Linked DNA regions of Neurospora crassa OR74A. Each later gene encodes a partner of the first gene's protein in a complex. Links are inferred from orthologs where the notes say so. Each region holds a gene or a part of one and is shown on either strand. Other genes may lie near its edges. The genes, in order: NCU07885, NCU03114, NCU06993, NCU03479 and NCU08353.

Region 1 (3,789 bases):
ATTGTGCTCTAGACGACGACGTGTGATGGGACAGTGGTCGCGTGCCGTGCGACTGGATTGTTCCGTCGAAGTAGTGATCGCTTCGTTTGTACTCTTCGTGCACTGATTAGGATATTCGGTACCCGAATGGTTATTTTGTGATAATTGGTGTCGGCTGGCGGTTTGGGAATGTGGCGCGCAGCGGCGGTTGGTGACTTGGGATAAATGCGAAGGCGTCAAGGCGACGTGATATGTTGGAGGTAAGGATGATGTGGGTTCACCTTGTCGCTTCCCCGGGAAGTTTTGGTGCCACGGTTTCGGTGAGCTCTCTGCTTGCACGCTGAAACGGGTGTTGCATTGGTGGGGTTCACCGCGGTCCCATCCAGCTCAAATGCGGGGCATACCTCTAATGACAGGGGGCAACAGGGGATGTGTTTACTTTAAGCTCCCGTCGTCCAAGGCCTGACATATGGGATTCAGGGTGGTATTGAACTCAACCTTCATCAAGACTACCTGATGGTCAGATTCTTTATGGACAGTAAACAATATTGAGCTTCCTCTATTTGCTAATGCCTATCATCCCCTCAGTGAAAATCAACTTGATCAACCATTACATGCTGTTCATCTTGACCATTCCTTTCCATCTCCTCCTACGAGCCTGGTTAAATCAGCCTTCCAGACCACTTGCCTCGCGACCTGAACCCTTTGAAGCATGCTAACTACTCCCATACGCCGGCGAATAATGCAAAATGGGTATCTCATGTACAGTGCATCAAAATCTTCTTTTGTTCCCGGCGTCTCTCATGTTCTCTTACCACGACGCTCTTCTGCTCTGCCCTGATGTAGCAACAGGATACCATCCAAGACCTTCGTACATCGCGGCATGGGTCCTGTGCAGTTTGAGCCACAACCCCCTTCCTCGTGCGTGCGGCTTTTGGGGAACTCTCCAAGTATCCCGGCGCCACAATGGGGACAACGCCCCCACAACCACGAAGCGATCGGTGTCCAGAAATAATGAAAAGTTATTTTAGAACTCTTGATCATCGACTTCGGCCCAGATAAACGTCGCCAATTCATATTTCTCAAGCGGACGTTTGCGCTGAACCGGCAAAGCCCGGTCCCACATATTCCGTGGGGTTGACCATGGAGGTGAGGTCCAACAGTTTCCGATAGACTCCGTTTATAAATCGGAGACCGGCAGCCAAAACATAAGCTCCTTATCCGCAGTGGCAATCATGTTGAATCTTGGGTTGTACTGCACAAGGACTGGTTCCTTCTTTCCTTCCTGGGGAAGGAAATTCGGTTCCAGAACCTTGTTATTGGGAGTTTGCAATGTGTCCCAAACCAACAGGTCCTTGGCCGCGCCCGACACGACATATCGTCCATCTGGCGTAAAGCAACAGTCTCCACTGCTCTCTAGCGCACCGCTTCCACCATCAGCCTCGCCAGGGGCTGGCCGTCTGGTGCCGCCTTGGGGCTTTCGCAAGTACGCCTTCAGGTTCCCGTCAATGGCGTCAAAGAGGAAGTGTCCTCCGGTCCGTGTTCCTAGAAGAATATGCTTCCCGTCGTTGGAGAACTCGAGTTTCGTCCAGCCTCTGAAGACGGCATCCGCATCAGCTGGCCCCTTCTCTTTCAAAACGTCGATGATCTTGAACGGTTTCACGTAGTTGCGGTAATCGTAAAGGAGAATGCTGGCGCTGGCTGGTAGGGCGATGGCAAAAACGAGACCAGCAGGGTCCCAGGCCGCTAAAGTGGGATTGGTGAGATGGAATTTGGCAACCCAGTTCCTGCTGTTGAGGTCCCAGAGCCTGACTGTGGTGTCAAGACTGCATGAAAGAAAGTTATCGGAGCCGGGATGGAGAGCAATGTTGGTAACGGAGGCCTCGTGGCCTTCGAAATATCGGATAAACGTATTGTCGTGGGTTGCCAGATAGCGGATTGCGTCTGTGGCGATCCAGGTCAGCGAAGAGCAGTCATTGAAGGGAGAAAGGGCGTCCAGTGACATACCGTTTTGCTTCGTGCTCGCATAGATGATGCCCGAGCTGGAATGTGTAAACTTCGCATGCTTGACGCCGTACTTTTTGCTCAGCAAGCTCTTGTCATGCCGACCTTCCCTAACGTTATATATCTGGATGGTCTCGTCGCTTTCAGACGTCATGCAAAGCTCGCCAGGGTCGTCAAAGTCGATCGATAGAACGTATGGCTGGGGCCTACCCTCCTTCACGTCGTCTCTCTGGAAGAACTTTGTCGGCCTAAAATTCTTGATCACCTCACTGATCTTGGAGGTACTGGGCCCATTAGGCCCAAGTAACCGAGTAACGTTCAGGGAGGGTGTTCCCGCGCCGGGTTCGTCGATGTCCATCGGTGTCGATGACATTGCGGTCGATTGATCGTATTGAAACCGGCTAGAACCAGAGAAGATGGCGGGGCAAATATATTGGGTCAAATTGTATAGTATCGGATTGATGGTAGTTATTTGATGTTTGGTTCAAAACTTAGTAGCATCCGTCAACCGCGTTGGTGTTTCTGCCGGGCGGAGAGACAGAGCTTCAGTAATGCGACGTCAAGGTACATACAATGGCTTGGCAGTGGCCCAAGACCCTAACCCTTGTTTCGATCCATGGTCACTGCATGGACAACGACACCAGTTGGGTAAGTAGGTATCGATGTCAGTGACAGCTGGACAAACTCCATCAACGCTGGGATACGTTGGTGATTTGGCCGCAAACCGAGCAGTCAATTGACAACGGTGCTAGTGTATGTTCACGAAGCTAAAATGGCAATCGTTACACACTACGGTAGGATGCTCAATTGAGGTCCCAGTATGACTGTCTTCCAAGCTTTCGGTACCTTCGTCTTTTTCGAAATTGTCATCAAGCTCCGATTCGGACACTTGTTGCCGTCCATCGCGCCTAGGCCCTAACCCTCCCTCGCAGCAACGACAGCGTTCCCCGGCCCAGACATTTCCGGTTCTGATTCAGGGTCCACGTCTGGGCCGCCCGACCCGCCACGCCCCCTTGTCATACCGCAGAAACTCCACATTAATCTGTTGTCCGCGCGCCGAAACCGCAGCACTTACAACTCCTTCGCCTCGTCGCCATTGGGCACCACCCCCATCCACGGCATCGGAGGAGGATCTTGACACCAACTTCCGTGCCTGACCCAAAGCGGGAGTTGGTCCCAGTCGATCACTTCGACCCCCTTGTCTGCCCGGCGACTGACCGGCGAGGCCACCTTGAAGCTCCAATAAATTTCCCGGACAGCTCTCGGTGGTCTTCTCTTTCCTTCCTGTTCCTGGAGAAAGAAGCAGTCGTCGTCGTTCGTTGTGACTTCGTTCAGTTGTACACCTGTACATACACCGATCTGATCTTTCCCCAGATCATCCCCTCATTGCCGTCGTTACTCTCCGTGATACGGTGACATCCACTCCCGCCTTCCCCGGCCTACTCCCGAATTAGTTCCCGTGTTCCCCCCTCTCTCTCTCCGAACACCGGCAAGACTCGGCATTGCGCCTTTCTTTGACTTTGCGCGCCAACTCCGTCGCAATCAACCCAAAGACTCTGGGGACTCGACTTGAGTTCTCCCTGATATTTTCCCCTCCCTCACCCTTCTTCCCCATACATTCTCCCAAAACAGATACCCTAACGTCACTATGTCAACAACAGCAGGGTAAGCTCTCCCTTTCCCCTCCTCACAATGCGCCCAGTGCGCGCGCGCAACCCAACCCAACCCAAACCCCCCCCTCCCGGTCCCAAGCCCAGACTAACATCCCTCCCTCCCTCACAGCGCCTTTATAGCCGGCGGCATCGC
Region 2 (3,763 bases), on another chromosome or scaffold:
ACATCGATTTGCAAATGTTTGATGCTTGCAAAGCGGCCACAACTACCAACGGCTTGTTCAACGGTTCGCTTGTCCGTCGTCTGAAGTCTCGGAAATGTAAGGGCTCTGGATTCTGAGTGTTTCGGTTTTAGGCCGAATTCGTTAAGGGATCCCGTGTGAGGGACGCAATGTAGAAAAGATAGTGGTGAAAGTGTGCGAAGGGGCACACTGGGGTAGCAAGGTGGGCAATTGTCAGCTTAAAGAGCTTGTATAGACATGGAGAGGCCTTGTGTGGTCGGCAAGCTGAGATGAGCGATTGCGAGCTGTCAATATAGACAGGGTATGGTGGGAACGGAGGGGGATTCGAAGAAAAGAGGAGAAGAAAAAGAGGCAGAATCTCAGGCAGGAACAGGTAGGTAGATTTGGGGGGGGGGGTGCCGCATCAAGTTACTACCTCTACTTACGACGGGATACCTCTAGTACAACTTGGACAAAGTTAAGCGCGCTGCCGCAGGTTTACTCCAGGTTTAGGCCTGCTCCTCTCATTGGCAAATAGCAACCGCTGGTCACCTGCAATCAATCAGTCGAACCTCTGAGGACGGGACTCGGTCGCCTTGGACCAACATACCTAACCTCTTTGCTTATCCTGTTAGTGTCGACCTAGACGATGGCTGGCAAATTTTTGGGTAACGAATCGGGGTTAGGTATGGGGGGCTCAAAAAGTCCACTTCAGAGGACAGCTCTCGTTGACAAAGGCGGGCAACTTGCAGGACACACTGCAGTTTCTGTGTGTCAACCACGGAGATTAAAACTTGAATTTGATTTTACGCCCAAAATACCTCTACGTTCTAACACATATCGAAACAGGATATACCACGCGGGTAATACTGCCATTTGCAAATGTACTTTCTACGTGTGCCTCTATTGTTGGTTAACATGTTCCAACGAAGAAAAACTTCGCACGAAACTCTCAACTTCCCGTCCCAACAGGGATGTTTATCACTGCATGTTTGTGTCCACCATTGGATGTTCTCGATGCCTTCGATGTGGGTGATTGGCTCCGTGAATGCGTCCCGAACAGCAACGTGGTACCCATGGAATTTCCCAAGGCACTAGCTATGAGTTGCGCATTCCCTGTGTGGGACCTTTTAAGAAAAGTTATTGAAAAGGTAAGTTCCAATGTTCTGTGCACGATATTCTACAGTGCATCGATACGCATGGTGACCGAGGCTCGAGGCCCGTGAGGTTTGGGTCCTGGGAGAAAAAAAAAATACCTGGGGATCGTCTCACTGTGATTCTGCAGTGCATATCCGCGGACCGCTGCAGACTCGAGAGGTGGGGGAAGTTGACGAGAACGGAAAGAAGGGCAACGGGCTGCAAGACGCACGAGCCACCCACCATTTCACTCTGAAACACTGAAACGTTCTAATTTTGGAAAGCGGTCAGATGGGGCACTATGTGCGTATGACCACCACTTGTCCCTCGCAGTCGGTAACCAAACAGATTTGTTCCAAATTCCACATCCCACTTTTCACCGTCCAAAATCTCCGCGCCAGCAGCAACTGGTGAACAGGTTTGGACATCAACGACATTTAACAAGTTATATATGTGTGGTAGCAGGCTACCTCGACTAACTTAATCATCATCTGTCTGCGCTTTGCGCTCAGCTGAAGCTTGAAAGGTAATTCCTGCGCTCTTTTCCGCTCTCCCTTTATCAACCGTCTCTTTCCTTTATGATGATCTTTTTATTGGAGCTGTCTGTAGCCTGCTATGTCTGGCGTTTGATGACAAACTTTTACATACGCTTTTTTTATCTGATGTGTACCGAGGACAACCTACACTTTTGCACTTGCCATGTCTGTATCGCAGAAGGGAACGCATTGATAACTAACATTGGCATCTTGCGCTTTCTAGGTCTTTCCAGTCAAGCATGCCACATCTGCCACAGTAACAAGTTACCTGCAACTGCCGGCTATGTCTGCTGTAGATACCCCAACTGGTGCCGCGAGCTCATCGAAGCCGGACCAGAATGAGCAGAATGGTCAAAACGGTGGGCGTGAAGACTCTGGCGGCTTCAAGCTAAAGTTTTGCACCGTCTGCGCCAGTAACCAGAATCGGTGAGCAATTTTACGCATCGCATCGTCACGCAACTGGATGACCCCGTCTAACCCTCACCAGCTCCATGGAAGGTCACTTGCGACTCTCTCTTGCAAATTATCCCGTGATTTCGTTTGGTACAGGCTCTCTTGTCCGTCTCCCCGGGCCGTCCATTACACAGCCCAATGTCTACAAGTTCAACGAAACATCATACGATAGTATATATCGGGAGTTGGAAGCCAAAGACCCTCGCTTATATCGCGCAAATGGACTGCTAAACATGCTTGGGAGAAACCGCCAAGTCAAGTGGGGCCCTGAGCGATGGCAGGACTGGCAGATTGGAATGCCTAGAACCAAGCACAAGGATGACAAGGGAGCTGATGGCATGGAGGGCGGCGTAGCTGATGTTGTCATCACCTGTGAGGAACGCTGTTGGGATGCTGTGATTGAAGATCTTCTCAACCGTGGCTCGCCACTTAACAGGCCTGTTCACGTCATCAACATCGATATCAAGGATAACCATGAAGAGGCATCCGTGGGAGGGCGAGCCATTGTCGATTTGGCAGACTCACTCAACAAGATTGCTGCCGAGGAGCGGGAGAAGGTTGGCGCTTCTGCCTTTGACTCGGGAAGCGTAGGCGCCAGATCAGGATTCGATGAGCGCGTACCGGACGTCCTGGCCGAGTGGCAGGAGAGATGGCCGAATCTTCCTGCGACATGGACTTTGGCTTGGTTCTAAGCATTGAATTGGCGTATTGTTTGAGCTCGTGCATCGTAAGGCGTTGGATGTTCTTTTTATTGCCTGGCGGGCGTAATCGCGGTTACGGACAGGGTGGGGGGTACATCTTTTTGGGTTCATGATTGATGACCAAACAACACAGACGAACAAGACGTTTTGGCCGTCACAACATAATGCTGATTTGGACTCGTAATCTCTATCAACAAGCCGTTGTTATCCGGGATTTATGAATTCTGCTGCTGCCATGATTGGCTTCAACTTGCTATTTTGTGAGGTCGCACCCCTCCTGGTTTTCTCAGAATATGTCGACCTCCGTGATTTGGCAGGCCATTTCCTCTTCCACCAGCCAGACCGCCAATTAAGCATTTTGTTTGTTACGCATATGCTTACTTCTATCACAAACATAATAATATCGCATGCATACATGCTCGGAGATGGGAGCTCATCGGCCCACCTGACGAGTACCCTGCATGGTATCCCAAAAAGCATTTTAAGATGACGAGCCGCACGGTTCATTATACGCAACATTGGATGCAAAGAAAACATAGCAGAATTTTGGAGATCTTCCTTGCTTATTGGGATCTGGGGTACTCAACGGTTGCCAGCATCTAGAAAATATCGAAACATGCACAACCGGGCAACCGGCCGTGCCCCCGCAGTGAGCAGGCCTACTTGTGACAATGCAACTAAACGCGCGAAGGTCAAAAATGAAATACATGGGGCTGTGGTGGCCATTGGACACACACTTGGAAGACGAAGACCATTAAGGTTACTGCTAATGCATGTTGTCACTACCTATCATGTTGGGGTGTTGGGCGGGAGTGCCCGAGGTCGAGGTGGCATTTGATGTGATGCGGGTATGCCTACATACCCATGTGGATAAATCTCAATATCTATATCGTCGGTCTCAAGTAAGAATTGCATTGTATTTCGGCAGACGATTGCCGG
Region 3 (4,087 bases), on another chromosome or scaffold:
TCTTTGAATGGATTCCGCTACGCTGTCGAGAATGGAATGATAGAATATTATCGATGGGAAACCTTTTGATTTCGGTTGCGAGAATCCGACGATACACCCAGTCGGACTAAGATGTCATTTTACTGCTTATGTGTGTTTGTTGATCCGTCCAGGAATCTCACGAATACCGTTCTCGATGCTCGTTTATGCCCATCGGCCGTCACAAGACCGGCTGACACTCATCCCCAAGTAGTAGAGATTGCAACACCTTTTGGCAATTAACCAGTTCTCTACTATTTCTACCACTTGGGTATTTCTTTCAAAACTCCATCCGAGGCACACCTAACCATATGTAGCCTACCAGCCCTTGATGCATAGCCCTCACCACTCGCTGAAGATTGTAATCAGATATGCAAAAACAAATACAAAGCAAAAACAATTTTGCGAAGCCTCGACATAGTGAAACAGAACCGTGTTACGCTTCTGTCCCCAACCCAACTGAAAGCATTTCCAACCGGAACTGCAAACCTCTCTCGCCTCCATATCCATGAGTGACTGACTCCAGGTACGTCTCGTCTACTTGACAGCACGTGAACACCGCCATCGAAGTCCGTCCCACATGAGTCTGTCCCGGGATACCTAATCGTCCTGGACAAGCTCCTTGATTTCGTCCCGCCCACCAGGCAACAATTGCGCTCCGCCCCCACCCGTCGCCAGCAACTTCTCGGCGTCCTTCGCCGTGAGGTTGAAACGGTCAATCACCTTGCCACCGTCCTGGGCCCAGAAGCCAACTTCATCGATAATGTCGTAGACGATATCTTCGACTATTTGCTCCTCGTAGCGACCCGACACCGGCCGCAGGGGTTCTTGATTCGGCACACTTCCGTCGTCAAGCATGTCCACGTCGTCCTCATCGCCTACCCCGTTCTGCTGCTTCTGGGGAAGACCAGACCCAGGTGGTGGGAACCAGAAGTCTGGGCCAAAGTTCACCTCGACGGCGCCACCGCGGAAAACACTTACGGCTGGGTAGTATCCGACAGTTCCGTCGTCGAGAGCTTCTCTGCCGGCATGTGCCCCTGACTGAGTACTTTGTTTTGATGCGGGTGGTAGGAAGGCGAAGAGGTCAGTCCAAGGCGTGCCCATGTCCTTTCCATTTTTGTAAATCTTGATGTACGAGTTCGGCAGCGTCCGTAGCGACGGCAATGGGTGATTTGGGTTCGGCGGTTCCGGCGAGTTTGAGCTTGCCGATGCTACCGGCGCGGGACTGAACAAGTCTTCCAGCTCCTTGGTTGTGTGGTAGTCAATCTTCTCAAAGTAAATGTGTTGTTTGAACCGAATGGGGATCCGGTCCCGGATGATGTTGGGTGCCTCGAGCGATGGTTCGTCGTCTGCCAAGTCGACCGCAGGGTTATAATGCCCCGTTACAATCTTCCTGTGTAAATGTTCCGAAGGCAGCTGGATCTCCAGCCCGATCACATCTCCTTCTTTGATCTCCTCGCCAGGCGGGAAGAAGTCTTTCGGCCGTGACATGTGCACCTTTTGTCCAGCCACGTCTCGAATACCATAACTGTAGCAATCGAACCCGACGGGGGCGTCGAGAGAAGCCTCACGCCGCGCCCAGCCCACGCGAACGTGCCCATGCGCCTTGGTATCACCTTCGGAACCTGGCTCGCGCAGGGTGCCTCGAGTGACCTTGCACTCCCAATACCACCTGCCCTCTCGCACGGCCACGTTGGCTCGTGACATACGGAAGCCCTTGTCGGTGGTGACATGACGACCCTGTCGGTCAAAGTATACGTGGGAGGCAGAGTCCTCGAAGGCCATGTGGGCAGCGTACGGCTCGGTCTCGGTCTGGCGATAGTAGAACATGGAAGGAAACGTTGGGTCGGCTATACAGTGAGTGTAATGGAACGCTCGCTTGTTGAAGACACTGTAGGAAAAAGGCAAATCAGAATATGCTCCGCATGAATGGAGAATGGCGAAGGAGCAAATATAGATAAGACATACTGTTCGGTTGCATCAAAGAATTCGATGGTCTCGCCCTCGGGCCCTTGAACCTCATGATGGCTGGTGAAGACGGGACCGCGCGCGGGCTCGAAATCAGTAAGTTTGGGCGGAGCGAGCTTATAGCGCGCGGGGAGCAATTCGTTGATCAAGGGCTCTTTGTGTTGCTGCTTCGGGTCTGGAGTTGCTCTAGAACTATCGGAACCGCCTGCTGCTGCCTTGGCCTCCCTCTTCTTGAAGGAGTCCTTCTTTGTTCTCTTTTCGCGGTTTAGAACGGCTGCTTGCTGGGTGTCTTCGGGTGCCTGTATTTGGACTCTTGGAGCGGCCTTGTTATCTGGGTTTAGGGGTGATGGAACTGCTGGACTGTGGTCGTCTTCGAGCGTGCGCTTCTGAGGGATCGTCGTGGCAGCTCCGGAAGGTGTTTGCTCCCTTCGGGGAGAGCCTACGTCGCTGGCCATATGTAGCTCGGCAGACGTCGTGCTAGCAGTAACGTTGACAAATATTTAACTAAGTGATTAGTTTTGCTTTCGCAAGCTGTCCTTGTCCTGAAGTCGACTTGTGTTTGGACTCGAACGGCGAGCACTCCAAGTCCAAAGTAGGTACCGACGGGAGCTCTTCTGATCGACGACAGCTTATGGATGCTAAGAATAATCTGAGAATTGCCCGATGGTGATCCTACGGGTAAATGCTTTGGTACTCGGAGAAGACGCGTACTTTTGGAGAGCGCAATTGGGTTAAAGAGTCCAGTTTCGGAGCGATTTGATGTTCTTTCTGGGGATTTCTGTAAAGAGTTGAGAAATGTAAGAGGAAAGAAAGACATGTGAACCAGAAATGGTGGATGGAAGCTTCATCCACTCGACCAACAGCAGCAGCGTGTCGCGACAAAAGGGCGGGGCATCCTTCTGTTAGTGGTTAACGGCAGGCAGGGGTCCCGGAGCTTGGCTCGCTTGTTAGTTACCACATGCATGGGACACAAAAATGCTAACAGCGCGGGAACCTGTTGCCTGCCGCAAAAAGGTCTTGAGGTTGGCTAGCGCTTGACAGTTGATACTGGGAAAGACGCCAAGGCAGTTGCGTCGCGGGTGATTCCATTGTTCGCCTTGACGCCAGCGCTTTGAATTTCTGGATTTCTTCCCCATCAACACAACAACATTTCAACACTTTCAATTCCAATTCCAAGACAACCCCAACCCCGAGTGTCCTCCCACCTACCGGAACGACTCCCGCATCACTACAACGCCCGACGAGTATCCATAACGGCCGAGCGACAAGATGCCCGTCGTCAAGGGAGGTGTGTGGACCAACATCGAGGATGAAATCCTCAAGGCGTCGGTCAGCAAGTACGGCCTGAACCAGTGGGCCCGCGTCTCGTCGCTGCTGGCCCGCAAGACGCCCAAGCAGTGCAAGGCAAGATGGAACGAATGGCTGGATCCCAGCATCAAGAAGATCGAATGGAGCAAGGAGGAGGATGAGAAGCTGCTGCACCTCGCCAAGCTGATGCCGACCCAATGGCGTACCATTGCCCCCATCGTTGGAAGAACCGCAAACCAGTGCCTGGAAAGATACCAAAGACTTCTCGACGAAGCTGAGCAGAGGGAGGCGTCCGCTCTTGGGCTGACGGGCCCTGATGGAGGCGAAGCTCACGCGCCCAGCGCCGACGATGTTCGCAAACTACGTCCTGGCGAGGTCGACCCCGATCCGGAGACGAAACCCGCCCGTCCCGACACCATCGATCTCGATGAAGATGAGAAAGAAATGTTGAGCGAGGCTCGCGCGCGTCTGGCCAACACACAGGGTAAAAAGGCCAAGCGAAAGGCCCGTGAGCGACAGCAGGAGGAGTCACGCCGACTGGCCGCTCTCCAGAAGCGTCGCGAGTTGAAGACAGCCGGTATCAACATCAAGGTTACGACAAAGAAGCAGGGCCAGATGGACTACAATGCCGATATTCCATTCGAAAAGAAGCCTGTTCCCGGATTCTATGACACCACCGAGGAGATGTCTCGCAACGAGTACCAGCGCGCCCATTTCGACCCCAAGAAGCAGCAGGTTGGGAACAAGCGCAAGGGTGAAGAGGACGAGAGAGACGGCAAGAGGAGAAAGGGCG
Region 4 (4,223 bases), on another chromosome or scaffold:
CAACACGGCCATCACGGCATCAGCAATGCCGTCGTTGAGCATGTTGCCTTCCCACTCTAGTTCTACCTCGCCGCTGGCACGGTAGCGGACGGTGACGCATCCCATGACCAGGTAAGCGGCTACCACGTCGTCACCGTGGGGCAACTCCTCATCAGCTTCTTCCATCTTGGTATCGCCGTTCTCGCTCTTAACGATCTCCAGCTTTGGCTTCACTTCGGGGAGTTCTTCGACGGCACCAAAGGTTCCTTCGAGACCCCACTTGATGAGGTCAATACCAGCGGCACTCAGCTTCAAACGCTGCTTGCACGCAATAGTGGTGGTCGTCAAGCCAGCATACTCTCTGAGATCCTCCGGAGCCATCAGGGACATTTTGAAGTCGTTTTGCACCAAAACACCAGTGATAAGCTGAGGTTCGGTAGAGGAGGGAAGAGGTCCGTCATGCCCGGTCTTGGCTTCCTTTAAAGAAGGCGGGATGGACGCAAGCTTGCCCACCACCTTGGCGACTTTGTCCGTCTTGAAAGGGATGCGAAGCTCCTCGCAGTTTCTGGGGCTGAACACCTTGACTTTGTGTTCCTTGGTCGCGTTGAGCGAAAGAAGCTTGGACTTGAGACGCATCATGTTGTGCACCTCGCCGTGAACGAGGATGACGACGGGGGCGGCGACTTCCTCGATGAACTCCCTGTTTTCCACGCCGTCAACGTGCGCAGCAAAGGAGAACTCCTGGACGGTGCAGCGACGGGGGATCATGACCTTCTCGGCGTCACCACCGGGGCCGCGGCGGGCACCGGCAATGTTGCGAGACATGACGGCTTGAATCTGCTCTGGCTCTTGAAGGAGCTGCTTGGCCATGGTGCCCTCGACGGAGTAACCGGTGATGATAACGCCGTTCTTCTCGCTCGGCGCCCATCGCTCCAGCAGCTCGCGACTGACGCCATTTTGGAGCATACCAGGGGAGGCAAGCATGACGCAGCCGCCGACGTCCTCGAAGCGGTCAAGGCTCTTGAGGGAGCGGATGAACCTAAAGTCCCATGGTCCTCCCTTGCCGGCACCGTCACCGGAGGACTCGGACTCGGCCAGACGCTCGCGGAACAGCCGCTTGATGTTGTCGTTCATGGAGCCGACATAGGTCTGGTAGACAAGCATACACTTGCGCGCGAGGTTGGAGGCGTAGTAGATGGGGTATTTCTGGTATTCGGCGTGCTTGCCCCAGTACTCGTCGAGGATGAGGAGGAGCTCCTGGGCTCGACCGAGGGCGAAGACGGGCATGAGGACGCGGCCGCCTCTGTTAAGGATGCCGGTGATGGATTTCATGAGGGCCTGTTCACGTTCTGGTCGGGGAATGTGCGAGGCGATACCGTAGGTGGACTCGGTGATGAGGACGTCGATCTTGACACCCTTGGGGACTTTGGCAGAGATAAGATGCCTGTCTTCTTCACGGGAATAGTCGCCAGTGAAGAAGATCTTGAGGCCGGCGATCTCAATCAGAAACATGGCGGCGCCAAGGACGTGGCCGGCTGGGTATGGTGTGATGCGGATGGAGGAGATGGTGTGGGTAGTATTGTAGTCGATGGCCTCGATCATGGGAAAGGTCTTGAGATGGTCCTCCTCGGTGTAGACGAGCGACGATTGCGGGTTCGACGATGTGTTGCCAACACGGACACTGTCCTGGATAAGCCATTTGTAGATAGCCTTGGTGGCATGTGTCATGAAGACACGGCCTCGGAAGTTGGTCTTGGCCAAGACATATGGTAACGAGGCGGCATGGTCGATATGAAAACTAGAGAGTGGGCAGTCAGTCTCGGCTAAGGTCTGGACCAGGTAGGCGACTATGGGCGAGGACAGTGCTTCACAGAGAACATGCAGCGCGAGTGGCAGACAAGATGGGAGGGGGAAAAGGAGAAGAGCGGGCAATGGCGACAAATTCTTTTGTATTTTCATTTCCTGAATACATGTATATGATGGACGGTACAATGCTGCAAAGCGGACAAGAACCGCAGAGACCATAGAGCAACGTGTCAGTCACTGGCGATGGCGTATATCCAGAGCCCAGCTCGATCATCAACCCATCTTGTCCCAAGCCAAACACTGCGGCACTGTCTCTCGCGGATAGACGGGCATACATATAATTGTAGGCCATGGCAAAAAAAGGGGGTGAAGGGGGTTGGGCTTACTGGCTGATCAAGAGGACATCTACTGTGCTGAGATCGAAGTCATCAAAGAATGGAAGGGCAGCTAGGCCATCATATGCTGGATGTTGGCCAGCATCAAGCTACAACAACCCACGGAGAGGTCAGCCCATGTTCGTTGGGAGGAGTGATTGATTTTGGTTGATTTTGCGCACCATAACGGTTTTGCCCTTGTACTGGATGATGTGACATGATCGGCCGACTTCGTTGCCTCCGCCGAGGTTGAGGAACATGAGTTCATCCGCTGGGTCGACCGGCTCCTCTGGCTCCGTCGCCATTGCCGAAGCCTTCCGCTTGGAAGCCATGGCTTAGGTATTCTTTTGGTTCGTTCGCTCCACGCGTAAATCCTTGCTTTCCCACCGTCGCCCTGTATATACTTGGGAACTTTCAAGCTGCTGACTGCGATTGTTTGATTGGCAAAGTGTGGCGGTTTCGATGCGATTTGAAACGCGAATTACGCACGTCAATTGCGAGATGACGTGGCTCAGTCGACGTGAGAAGAAAGACGGAATATCACGGATTAGTACGCGCCGTGAATATGGATGGCGCCCTTGATGTGATTTCGTTGATGGATGTTGAATGCGTTTTGGATGAAGATGGCAAGTGCTCGTTGAATGAAGTGAGGTTGAAGTTGGCGGCTGATTTGCCTGCCGGAAGTCCCTCTTCGGTCCCAAGCCAGCCGCACAACAACCGTCAACGGCCAAATGCCCCACTATTTTCCACCAATCTCACACGTGACTGGCTCACTCACTTCATTGTACGTACCAGACGCGACCCTTGTTGAGGTTCAGTGGAGCTCGTGCCGCCGCTAGCAACAAGCAATTGAACCTGCAGCGGCGGGCAGCAACTGGTCCCGTCGTTCTTCGTGTGCGAGAGTCCCTCTTTTCGATTTTATTGTTCGTCATTCTTTCTCCGACCACCCGACCTCGACCTCCCCTCCTCCAGTGCTTCACCCAACAATCCGATTCATAACCTCCCACCGTCGCCATCACTCCCGCGGATCCAAACGACAATTAATTGTCGACCACGACGATACTCCAACGAGCGAGAAATACATCGACCAACTCGGACACCGATCGATACGAGCGACCGGCGTATGGAAGGAGAGACACGGCGTAGCTAGAGGGGCAGCGCAGGTTCGCCTGCTTCCACTTGGGTTTACGGTGACGGGAACCTGAGCACTTGATCAGTTGGGAGCTCAGCCTCGCCGTCAGCTGGAGGACAAGGAATAGCTGCTTATTATCAACGACGACCTTCATCTGTCCACCCCAAGGGCGCCCCATCACCATGGCGCAACCACCGCAACAGCCTCAGATGCCTCAGTTGCAACAGCAGCAGCCTCAGTTACAACAGCAGCAGCCTCAGTTGCAACAACAACAACAACAACAACAACAACAACCTCAGTTGCAGCAGCAGCAGCAACCACCACAAATGTCGCCGCAGTTGCAACAGTTCCAGCTCCAGCAACAACAGCAACAACGTGCCCAGATGCTCGCTCAACAACAAGCCCAAGCCCTTGCTCAGCAACAGCTGCAGCAACGCGCCCAGCAACCTCAGCAGCATGTCCAGCCTCGCCAAATTCCCCAACAGTTGCAACAACATAGCCAACAGCAGACCCAACCGCCGCCGCCGCAACAACAACAGCAACAGCAGCCGCAGCAACGTGTACAGCAACAGGTCCATCAGCAAGGGCACCAGCAAGCCCCAACTCACCAGCAACACGCTCAACAACAACCACAACACCCCCAACATCCTCAGCAGCAGCAGCAGCATGTCCCGCAGCCGCAACAACAGCAACATCATCCACAACTCCAGCATCCCCAGGCCCAGTTGCAGCAACCTCAGATCCAACACCCTAGCCCGCCAGTCCACCAGCAACCGCAGTTTGCTCGTCCGCAGCACACACCCTCTCCGGCGCCCACCACCCAAGCGCAGTTCTCGATACCGCCGAACCAGCAGCGTCCCCAGACCGGCGCAAGTCCTGCCTCTCAGCCGGGCTCGCCTTACCTTCCCCAGAACTACGCCACTACGCCTCAG
Region 5 (3,244 bases), on another chromosome or scaffold:
CTCGTTGCGGGAGCTGCATAATGCTGTTTTTGACGTGATTGACGGGTCCATTACCAAGGGCACTGTGCGCGTCGGCCTCGGCGCGAGCGTGTATGGGTTTGTCGGACGCTGGGTGCCGCGCGGGCTGGTGGCGTGGATGATGGGTATCCGGACGGTGGACGAGCTGGCGGCGTGGCAGTCGAGTCATAGCTCGTTTAATAGCCCAAGGTCGGGTGGCTCGGTGAGGTCTATGGGAAGCGAGAATGGGGATGAGGAGGAGGTGGGGACTGGGGCCCGCACATCGAATGAGTTGTTTGTTGCGGTGCCGATGGAGTAAAGTCTTCATGGGAATAGTTTGGAAGAGTACAAAAGAAGGCAGTGTCGACAAGAATGGCATATGCCATAGCATCTCAGACGGTGGGTTGATTATCATTTGGTTACGGGTGTCCTAGGTAGGGAGCGGCGTTCATGTTTTGGGATCTCGTCCCTCTCAGTCTATTTTGGAAGAACATACAGATCACAGCTCCTCAAAACTGTCAAGCTAGCAATTTTTATAAGAATCTCACAAACCCTGTGAATGTAAACCTGACCTACAGCTAATACACTAGATATAACCTTGCCTTTGCGCCGTGACCTATTCCTTATTCCGTGATGCATACCTGGTCTTTACTACCGGATTCCTGGGCCTTCTCATCGTCCGAGCACTAGCCTAAATATGTCGCTATGTTCATGTACCATTTGACCTCCCCTGGCCGCTTTGGGACCAATGTTCTCTTAATGACCTTTACCCCTAAATCCTCCCCTTCCTCTTCCCCTCCATCCTCCTCGGCCTCTGCCTCCTCCTCCTCCTCCTCCTCCGCCTCCAAAGCGATCCTTATGGCGATCATGCCCGCCACCGTCCCTATCGCGTCCCTGCATCATCATCTCCCTCTCCCTGTTATCCCGATCGCGCTCCCTCTCTCGGTCCATATACTCATTCGCGCCCGTCGCCTGCGCCATTCCACCACCCATACCATTAGCATCGCCCATGTGTTGTTGTTGTTGCTGCTGCTGTTGCTGCTGCAGCAGCATCTGATCTCCCTCCCCCTTCGCCCTCGGCTTCTCCATATCCTTATCCGCCGTCCACCTCGGATGCGCGCCCTCCTTGCAGCCCTTCCCATCCGGACAGAAGCCCGCCAGGTAATACAAACACAGCTTCCTCCGGAAATGCTTCTTGTCACATCGCGGTCCCAGCGGACAGAACCCCCTCTCGTAATGCGGGCACGGCGGCAATCTCGACAGCGGATCAATGTGCAGATACAGACACTCGTCCCCGTTGCTGCAGTACCCGTTCCTGACGAAGAAATTGCACTCGGGCATCTTGCGCAGGTTGTACTCGTGCAGGAACTCGCACGATTCGCCCTTTTTGCAGAGGCCGCGCAGCCAATGCTTGCAGACTAGCGAGCCGAAGCCGCCGCTGAAGGTGTTACCGCCGCCATGGGTGTTTTGGGACGACGCGGTAACGTGGCGCTCGGGGCAGTGGGATTTGAGGGGGCAGTTGCCTGAGGCGTAGGCTTTGCAGATGGGTCGGTCGGCGGGGAGAGAGTGCTGGTACGTGCGCTGGAGGAAGGGCGTGAAGGAGAAGGTATAGTGTGGCGCGGTGTGGTTGAGCATCTGAGTGACGAGTTGTTGCGGTCCTCCTGCCCCAGAGGGGAGGGAGTTTGTTGTTGTCTGTGTTGTTGTCGCCATCTCGGCGGATGTGTGAGGGGGGGAAAAAGGTGGTTCGCCGGTGCGATTCGGGCTTCAAGGTGGGTAGGCTTGTTTTGTCGCGAGCGGTTCACGATCGGTTCGGAGAGGTATGTAGCTGGGCGACCAGTCGTAATGAATCTTGCCTAGAGAATGCGCGTGGCTTGTGTTTATGCACGCTTAACCAAGAGTCGTATTCTTTGCTGCGTTTGCCCAGTTTCAAATTCGGCTTTGGTCGGGAGAAGTTCGCACAGCAGGTTGCGCCATTCAAAAAATTGAAGCAAGGTGTGGTTGAGAGTTTGGAGAGAAAGAGTGCAACAAGTCGCAAATCGATTGTTGGAAATCGATAAGACGTGGACTCACCGAGAGATGCAAGGTGAGTGACCAATCAGAGATCAGCTATCCCGGTCTGGGCTACCTCGGCTTCCCTTACACTGGGCTAGCGGTCACCCCCGCGATGGCTATTCGGCATTTGTTCAACCATATTGTACCCTTGTTTAATCATATAGGTTGTCATTCTTTCACTGCTTGTGTATCTCACTCGGTGTTTCTGCGTCTGCTTCTTTCCAGTGTAACAAAGCACTCTATTACTCCAGGTATCCTTCCCAGATGAGAGGCATTCAGGTGGCACAGTATGTTAAGGTATGTCCTATCTCGATCATCCAGGACATCTTCCCATTTCGTGGTTCTAACATTAGCCCTTAACTCAGAGCCCGCAAGAGCTCAGGGTCACGGAGCTTCCAGACCCTACACCTACTTCAGATGAGTACTTGATTGAAGTTCATGCTGCGGCAACCAACTTTTTCGACATTCTTCAGATTCAGGGCAAATACCAGAATCAACCACGTGCGGCTTCTTTATTGAGTCCCGCTTACATTGCATTCAGTATGCTGACGTTGCGTCTTAGCATTCCCCTGGGTATCAGGTGCCGAGTTCGCCGGCGTGGTTCTCGCCACCCCTTCCGGCCTCAAGGACCCCAAGTTCCCCGTCGGTTCACGTGTGTTTGGAGCTAGCCAGGGTGCGTACGCTACCAAAGTCAAAGCCAAGGAGACGGCCCTCCTCCCAGCTCCCGAAGGCTGGTCGCTTGTGGATGCTGCCGGCCTCTTTGTGACGGCACCAACCAGCTATGGAGCCCTTGTTGTTCGGGCCGGCGTCAAGAAGGGCGACTTCGTCCTTGTTCACGCTGCGGCCGGTGGTGTAGGTCTTGCCGCAGTCCAAGGTTAGTGGCATACATACCCGTCTCGAAGATGAACTACTTCGTTGCTAATCCCACACATAGTTGCAAAGGCGTTTGGAGCAACTGTCATTGCTACGGCCGGAACCAAGCACAAGCTCGAAGTCGCCAAGTCCTTTGGCGCTGATCATGTCGTCGACTACACGGACCCCAAGTGGCCCGAGATGGTGAAGAAGTTGACCCCTAAAGGCAAGGGTGTTGACATTGTCTACGATCCTGTCGGCCTGGTAGATCTGAGCACCAAATGTACTGCGTGGAATGGCCGCATCCTGATTGTCGGTTTCGCTGCCGGCAAGATCGAGAAGG

The links.
Region 2: NCU07885 (region 1) and NCU03114 share a complex: the UniProt entries of both Saccharomyces cerevisiae proteins name them as parts of the APT complex. The link is inferred for Neurospora crassa OR74A from reciprocal best matches to the Saccharomyces cerevisiae genes SWD2 and SSU72.
Region 3: NCU07885 (region 1) and NCU06993 share a complex: the UniProt entries of both Saccharomyces cerevisiae proteins name them as parts of the set1C/COMPASS complex. The link is inferred for Neurospora crassa OR74A from reciprocal best matches to the Saccharomyces cerevisiae genes SWD2 and BRE2.
Region 4: NCU07885 (region 1) and NCU03479 share a complex: the UniProt entries of both Saccharomyces cerevisiae proteins name them as parts of the cleavage and polyadenylation factor (CPF) complex. The link is inferred for Neurospora crassa OR74A from reciprocal best matches to the Saccharomyces cerevisiae genes SWD2 and YSH1.
Region 5: NCU07885 (region 1) and NCU08353 share a complex: the UniProt entries of both Saccharomyces cerevisiae proteins name them as parts of the cleavage and polyadenylation factor (CPF) complex. The link is inferred for Neurospora crassa OR74A from reciprocal best matches to the Saccharomyces cerevisiae genes SWD2 and YTH1.

Annotation. Positions count from the first base shown.
Region 1 is NC_026503.1:1,232,535-1,236,323, reverse strand, and holds NCU07885 (WD repeat containing protein 82), read right to left. Parts: upstream 2,484-3,789; 5' UTR 2,357-2,483; coding exon 1,987-2,356; intron 1,924-1,986; coding exon 1,160-1,923; 3' UTR 514-1,159; downstream 1-513. Other genes in the region: NCU07884 (mitochondrial oxaloacetate transporter), read left to right, coding at 3,632-3,648, 3,766-3,789. UniProt on the Saccharomyces cerevisiae protein: The COMPASS (Set1C) complex specifically mono-, di- and trimethylates histone H3 to form H3K4me1/2/3, which subsequently plays a role in telomere length maintenance and transcription elongation regulation. Involved in mediating RNA polymerase II termination.
Region 2 is NC_026501.1:4,604,377-4,608,139, forward strand, and holds NCU03114 (SSU72), read left to right. Parts: upstream 1-1,495; 5' UTR 1,496-1,660; intron 1,661-1,893; 5' UTR 1,894-1,953; coding exon 1,954-2,096; intron 2,097-2,157; coding exon 2,158-2,815; 3' UTR 2,816-3,246; downstream 3,247-3,763. UniProt on the Saccharomyces cerevisiae protein: Component of the cleavage and polyadenylation factor (CPF) complex, which plays a key role in polyadenylation-dependent pre-mRNA 3'-end formation and cooperates with cleavage factors including the CFIA complex and NAB4/CFIB.
Region 3 is NC_026504.1:4,813,754-4,817,840, forward strand, and holds NCU06993 (Ash2-trithorax family protein), read right to left. Parts: upstream 2,813-4,087; 5' UTR 2,442-2,812; coding exon 1,987-2,441; intron 1,910-1,986; coding exon 619-1,909; 3' UTR 56-618; downstream 1-55. Other genes in the region: NCU06994 (pre-mRNA-splicing factor cef-1), read left to right, coding at 3,256-4,087. UniProt on the Saccharomyces cerevisiae protein: Component of the Set1C/COMPASS complex that specifically mono-, di- and trimethylates histone H3 to form H3K4me1/2/3, which subsequently plays a role in telomere length maintenance and transcription elongation regulation.
Region 4 is NC_026502.1:551,094-555,316, reverse strand, and holds the start of NCU03479 (endoribonuclease ysh-1), read right to left. Parts: upstream 2,818-4,223; 5' UTR 2,492-2,817; coding exon 2,342-2,491; intron 2,270-2,341; coding exon 2,172-2,269; intron 1,778-2,171; coding exon 1-1,777. Other genes in the region: NCU03480 (hypothetical protein), read left to right, coding at 3,474-4,223. UniProt on the Saccharomyces cerevisiae protein: Component of the cleavage and polyadenylation factor (CPF) complex, which plays a key role in polyadenylation-dependent pre-mRNA 3'-end formation and cooperates with cleavage factors including the CFIA complex and NAB4/CFIB. Has endonuclease activity.
Region 5 is NC_026501.1:5,654,092-5,657,335, forward strand, and holds NCU08353 (mRNA 3'-end-processing protein yth-1), read right to left. Parts: upstream 2,028-3,244; 5' UTR 1,708-2,027; coding exon 754-1,707; 3' UTR 517-753; downstream 1-516. Other genes in the region: NCU08354 (hypothetical protein), read left to right, coding at 1-316; NCU11325 (alcohol dehydrogenase), read left to right, coding at 2,314-2,346, 2,415-2,550, 2,612-2,923, 2,984-3,244. UniProt on the Saccharomyces cerevisiae protein: RNA-binding component of the cleavage and polyadenylation factor (CPF) complex, which plays a key role in polyadenylation-dependent pre-mRNA 3'-end formation and cooperates with cleavage factors including the CFIA complex and NAB4/CFIB.